Nothobranchius furzeri: one gene and its partner. The protein of the gene in region 1 binds, or shares a complex with, the protein of each later gene. Links are inferred from orthologs where the notes say so. Each region holds a gene or a part of one and is shown on either strand. Other genes may lie near its edges.

Region 1 (3,932 bases):
TCCAGGGCAGGAAACCTGACGGCCTGGTTGGAAACTACTAGAAGCTTCCTGGATGAGAAGCCACACGTCTTCAAGGGAAACAAGAAGAGTCCTGTTAATTCTAACGAAACTTTCAAGATTGTAGTTTTAGTAACTAAAGCACATTTTATTTATATAGCACTTATCAGAGTCACAAAGTGCTTCACATAGATCAAAGCAAAACAGTGTTCGCTAACAGAAATGGATTCACATCAGAAAAGTAAAACAAAAAAAAGATGATTAGAAATTCGGGGGGGGGGGGGGGCGTGTTTTTAGTTTCCTTCTATAGGAGGATCTTTTGTGACAGCAGTGCTTTACCGGGACTTTTTTCCACGTTACGATGACTACCGGTAGTCTTTCCGGTCATTTATTAGGAGAAATCTCCGAGATTTATAAAAGAATCATTTGCCAGCCATCCTGTGTGTGTGTGTGTGTGTGTGTGTGTGTGTGTGTGTGTGTGTGTGTGTGTGTGTTCGTTCGTTCTGTCTTTTCCATCCCCAGTGAGTCGTGGTGGATGGCTGCTTATACTGAGCCAGGATCCTCTGGAGGTTTCTTCCTGTTAAAAGGGAGTTTTCCTCTCCACTTTCGCTGCATGCTTGCTTAGTATGAGGATTGCTGTAAAGACTCTGACACTAGTCAGTGACTCGATGCAACCTGCTGGGTTCCTTATATAGGAAACTTGTTACTGATTGGCTTAATGTACTGACCTGTACTGGAATGTTTACTGTGTGCAGGCCCATGAGACGACTCTGATCGTGATTTGGCGTTTTATAAATAAATTGAATTGAATTGTTTGGAAGCGCGCCACGCATACAGCGCCATCAGCTCAGACAAGAGGAGAGAATAAAGAGACTCACACTGACGTTTTCAGCTGTCCCAGAGCTCATATGGGCCTTAAAAACGTTCACCAAGAATCAAAACTTTTTCTAGTTTGATGATAAAAGTTCTGCTGATTCAGAGAATGGCCAGCTGGACCGGGAGGTCGGTAGATTAAAACACACTGAATACATTTGGTGACCTGACATTCAAAAGTATTAAAGGGGCCATTTTTCACCAGATTAGACATGTTTGTCCTTAAAGACCACCACAAGACCTGCCTCGCCACGTGACGGGCGTGGCGTGGTACACTCAGACTGGAGTAGTGTATTATTATAGTACTAGTGTGTACTCATAAAGATCTATAAAAGTCTTTAGTTCTGAAACTCCTTTTAAACCAAATGGAAGCTGTTGCAGTGGTCGACCACCAGGTGGCGGTAGAGATCGAGTCTTTCTGAGGGATTTAGAAAACGAAGAAGAACCCGGAAGTAAACAATCTTTCAGTACGGGGCTGCGACAATGGTAAGAAATGTCAATTATTTACAAATGAACGCAGTTTTAAACGGACAGGTGTTGTTTTAAAGAGGGCTTTACTTTGTGGTTTGTGTGTTTAAATGTTAGCTTGTTTAAGCTAATTTTAGGTTTTAAGTTTCGTTTATTTTGAACTCATTTTAATGACAAAAATCACGTTTTAAGTCTGTTTACGAAGAGATGGACTGCCTTTTTCTTTCGTTACGTTTTTGTCGGGTTTATTTTTTCCTTTTAAAGTTTATTGTCGTGCTTTTTTAAAGACATGCTGATGTTCGATCCGTCGCCAGTGCTGCGCTGTCCACCCTGTTGTTTTTCACTCAATCAGTGAGACACCCTAATGGAGAGAGAACATTCTGGATTAAATCATTTATTAATCCAAGAGATGAGGACGATAATATAAGGTCTAACATTTTGGGGTAATGATTCATTTGGAAAAAGATATAGATAACTTCATCAAAGTAGAAGGTAATTAAGAATAAAGCGATTTTCTGTTTTTTCTTTTTTTTTTTATCTGCACAGTTAACTAGATAGGAAGAATGATAATTTTCAATCTTTTATATTATACTACTTTTTTACATTTCATTTTTATTTATTTAGTTATTAATTACGATTATTATTTTTTTAATTATTGAATTTATTCAATTTTGTTTAAAGACAGTAAAAAAGTAGTTAATTATTAAGGGGCAGTGGAATATTAGCAAAGCTTAAGGATTCATTAAGGACACAGGGAGCAGGGAAGAGCTAGGCATAATGCCAGTCATTTAAGTTAGCAGATCTTAAAACGGGGATCTGTACATGGTTAAAGTTGGAAGTGGAACATTTGAGTGGGTTACTCAGAAAATGGGTGGGTGGGGTTTTTTGTGTTTTTTCTTAAGAATGGTTTGTTCACTTAAAGTTCGTGTTTTGTGTTCCGTTTTGTTCGTACTCTCAGACAAGTTTAAGCATTTAGAAGTGCATGTGAGGTGTGATGACTCGGGAACTGGAAGTTAAATGTACCTCTTGGAATTGTAGAGGCTTAAAAAGTACTAAAAAGATTAAGCAAGTAATGACCAAAATGAAAGATCTGGAAGCTAAAATAATTTTTCTTCAGGAGACGCACTTGCTGGAGGAGGAACATATTAAGGTTGGCAGGAGGTGGCAAGGTTCGTTGTATGCAGCACCATTTAGATCCAATGCTCGGGGAGTAATCACATTAATACATAAATCAGTACCTTTTCAGGTTAAGAATGTAATCAAAGATAAATTTGGTAGGTATTTGATCATCCAGGGATTACTTATACAAGAAACCATTAACTTAATTAATGTATATGGACCAAATACAGATGATGATGCATTTTTTACTAATCTTTTTCTCACAATTTCATTACTCCAAGGAAAATGCATCATAGGAGGGGATTGGAATTGTGTACTGGATCCCTGTAAGGATAGACCAACTGGGACTGACCAGGCCCATAACAAAAGCCGAAAAACAATTCTTAACTTCATGAAGGAACTTCAGTTGATTGACATCTGGAGACAGTTAAAACCTGACGATATAATTTTTTCCTGCCATTCAAAAACATTTAATACATATTCCAGAATAGATTATTTTTTAGTATCAGCAAGCCTACTATCAAACATAAGGACATGCTCATATGACAGTATATTACTATCGGACCATGCTCCCTGCAATATCATATATACACATAAAAACTTAATAATGGAGCGTAGATGGTGTTTACACCAGAAATGGCTGAATGATGAAGAATTCCTCACTTTTGTAGAAAAAGAAATAGATGAATATTTTACTATAAATGGTTCACAAACATCAGCTAGTATTAGGTGGGAGGCATTTAAGGCATGTTTACGGGGAGTTATAATTGCATATACTTCATCGAAATCTAAAGAAACATGTAAAACAAGACAGCAAATGGAAAAGGAAATTAAAACTCTAGAGGAACTAGTATTCAAAAGTAGAGACCCAGTAACAGAGAAAAAATTGCTAATACTAAAAGCACAATACAATAAAGAATCGGCAGATAGAGCGGCTTCGAACATTTTGAGATTAAATCAGTCTTTTTATGAACAAGGAGAAAAACCTGGAAAAATATTGGCATGGCAAATTAAACAATTGGAAGTGCAGAAAAATATAACATCGATTGTAAGCAGCAAAGGGGAAATGATAATAGACCCGATGGAAATAAATAAGGCGTTTAGAAACTATTATGAAAAACTTTATGAATCTCAGGATAGATCAGATCAAACCTCCAGAAATGCGTTTCTGGATAAAATAAATATTCCTACTATTGCAGATGACTTAAAACAACAATTAGATGCAGAAATCACCGAAGGGGAAATAAGCAGGGCAATTAACAGTATGAGTTCAGGTAAAAAAGCGGGACCAGATGGATTTCCAATTGATTTTTATAAAAAATTTAAAAGTAAATTAGTGAAACCATTATTGGAAATGTATCAGGAATCATTACACAAAGGAAGTCTTCCTAAATCAGTAACGGGTTCGCAAATCATTTTGCTACCTAAGCCGGGAAAGCCGAGTAATAAATGTGAAAATTTGAGGCCGATAAGTT
Region 2 (2,750 bases), on another chromosome or scaffold:
AAAGATCAAAGAGCCCCCCGTTTGTGCCTAAATTAAACTGTTTTTCAATTCCTCTCTTTGGAAAATACATAAATAGCTTTTAGCGATTGCTAATGGTATCTGATTTTGAAAATGGCTTTCCTAAATCATGAAAGGGATACTGAAAAAGCGTCAGAGGTCTAATATGTGTTAAAAGCTTGTCTGGGAAAGCTCATTAAAGACTCAGTCCAATTACAAACAGTGCTCTTTCTCACAGCTGACTGAATACTGGTCTTAATTCATCACGCTAGTGAAAACTGCACACAGCAGCAAGATCAATAGGGAAGTTTAAATAATTATCAGTCTGGCTGCTGTCATATCACTCCTCTCTGGGGGTCATTAGCTAGTCAAAGAGAGTTTATTTATGTGTTCATCATAAACTGAGTAACTGAATAAATAAGTGCAATTAACATAAATCACTTAATTTCTATGGTGCAACTGAAAGTCGTTTAAAGCTACCATACAGAAACATGAAAAGCTGTATTTTCTAATCAAATTAATGAAGCAGGGAATGTGTGGGGCCTACATTAATCTTGAGAAGAAGTTATAACACTGTCAGGTCCATCTAGCTCAATCCATTATCCATCTGTAGTCCCTTTAACTGCAAAAACAAATATGGAACGAAACCATGTATAACACTTTTAAAATAGTTTCATAAAATGCAAATTCTAATTTTGCAAATGTGAAAGAGTTCAATTATCTTATTTTAATTGAAAAATAAAAAATAATTTGTGTCTTTTGAAAGTTCAAAAATAAAAACAAGATCATTTATATACATTTAGGGAAAATAACACTGTTTAATAAAACGATTAATATAAATAAATGCATTGGAAATTAATGATTAGGCTAAATAAAATGAACAAGTGAATAAAAGATTTTCTTTAAAACTTATAAAAAATTGCTTATTTTATTTTTAGGTTATACAATAAATATAATTCAAAGTTTGTTTGAGTCAAATAAATCGGCTTTTAGCATCTTTTGAGTTGCTTTAACATTTCACTAGTCCTGCTACTACGTTTCCCACAAGGCATCGCGGACTGCAACGTCATTAATCTGCGCAGTGCTGAGGTGGTGTTTGAAAGAAGGTAAACATTCATGTTTATTTGGTCTTTAACGTGATTTAAATAGATGCTTTATATACTACCCTTTTATTTAGTTGCGTTCGCGTCTTTTCAACGAGTGTTTGGTTTATTTTCGTTTCTTGTCGTTTGTTTATTTCTGCGTATTTTAGCTCGATAAGCTAACAGGTTGCTAACACAGTTTTATCTCTCAGGTCGTTTCATAGAGCTTCCGTCATGACGAAACTGATGCAGTGGTTGCTCGGGGCGTCTCTGCTGGGGACAGTTTGGGCTTTGGTTACGTTTGACCTGTTGGAGCTGAGCCTCCCGCGGGTGTACCGGGAGATCGCCTGGCCGATGCCTCTCTACCTGCTGGTGACGTTCGGCTGCTACTCCCTGGCCACGGTGGGATTCCGGGTGGCCACCTTCAACGACTGCGACGAGGCAGCTCGAGAGCTCCAGGAGCAGATCACGGAAGCTAAAGAAGACCTCAGAAAAAAGGGCTTGAAGTTGTAGGACACAAAGACTCAACCCTGTAGAGACCGAGTAGTGAGGACATGTGTTTCACAGCTGGATGGATGAAACTGAACCATCTTCACTAAAATGTGGATAAGAAACTGTGTCACTTATGTTGACGCATCATTTCCAGTTTAATCCTGACAAATCTAATCCAGAGGCTCTTTGGGATTTCCCACGTGCTTTGAGTCAAGCTGATATGTGTTTGCATCGTGTGCATCTGGAGATGTAATGCCCGTACCTGCAGATGGATCCAGATTTAATCTGTAAAGACGTTTACATTCCTTTGTTCAATGCCTTTGAGGTGTTTCAGAAAAATTAATTAAATGGGAATTTATTTTCTAAATGGATTCCTGTTCTTGAGGTTCAGGTATGTCTGTGAAGCACCTTTGTGGCTTTACAAAGGGTTTCCTCTTCAAACGGGTCAGAACAAAGCCCTTTTGGGCTTGGCATTCTGCTTAACCTGTTGGGAGAAGACGGGCCTCTTTTTATCCAATTGTAAGTTTATGACACAAACTATGCATCATGTAATATTTCTCCAAATGCATTTGATTCTAAAAAATCAAATCTGCGTATGTAACTCTGAAGTAATCGATGTTGGCAGTTATATTTCTTTTACGAGCTGTAAAAGGCTGCCTTTGCGTATTTTTCACCAAGTCCCTGCTGTGTGTAAACAAAGCATAGCTTCACCAAAGGCATCATTACGGGGCATCAAACGATCTCATAACTTCTGAACAAATGCAAAAAGAGTTGGCAACTCTGCCTGTTAGGCTGCAGCTCCATCTTGCCTCGCAATGTCCCCCACCCCCACCCCACACACACCCACCCACTGAATCTGTGCAAGCTGTTGCTTGAGCAGACAGGATGAAACACAACTTACTTGAAAATCTTCTAATTTGGCAATTACACCAACAGCAGATCTGTTCCCACTTGCAGCCACATAAAGTTTTTAGTAAACTCTCAGTGTTTCTTTGATTCTCCACTAAAAAAAAACTGATTTGCTCTTTTCTGCAGAAGTATTTGTCCCAGGCTGAACAAAAGTGTAAATATTTTTGGACATTCGTTTTTAATCCCTTATATTGGAAGCGTACAATGCATTAGCTCCCTCCCAGTCTAGTATTTTTAAATAGCAGGTTTAAGTTGATGTAATCTGGTGCA

Evidence for each region.
Region 2: dpm2 (region 1) and dpm3 share a complex: the UniProt entries of both Homo sapiens proteins name them as parts of the dolichol-phosphate mannose (DPM) synthase complex. The link is inferred for Nothobranchius furzeri from reciprocal best matches to the Homo sapiens genes DPM2 and DPM3.

The regions. Positions count from the first base shown.
Region 1 is NC_091746.1:70,784,801-70,788,732, reverse strand, and holds the start of dpm2 (dolichol phosphate-mannose biosynthesis regulatory protein), read left to right. Parts: upstream 1-1,253; 5' UTR 1,254-1,353; coding exon 1,354-1,356; intron 1,357-3,932. UniProt on the Homo sapiens protein: Regulates the biosynthesis of dolichol phosphate-mannose. Regulatory subunit of the dolichol-phosphate mannose (DPM) synthase complex; essential for the ER localization and stable expression of DPM1.
Region 2 is NC_091759.1:5,963,404-5,966,153, reverse strand, and holds dpm3 (dolichol-phosphate mannosyltransferase subunit 3), read left to right. Parts: upstream 1-1,045; 5' UTR 1,046-1,103; intron 1,104-1,291; 5' UTR 1,292-1,313; coding exon 1,314-1,592; 3' UTR 1,593-1,938; downstream 1,939-2,750. UniProt on the Homo sapiens protein: Stabilizer subunit of the dolichol-phosphate mannose (DPM) synthase complex; tethers catalytic subunit DPM1 to the endoplasmic reticulum.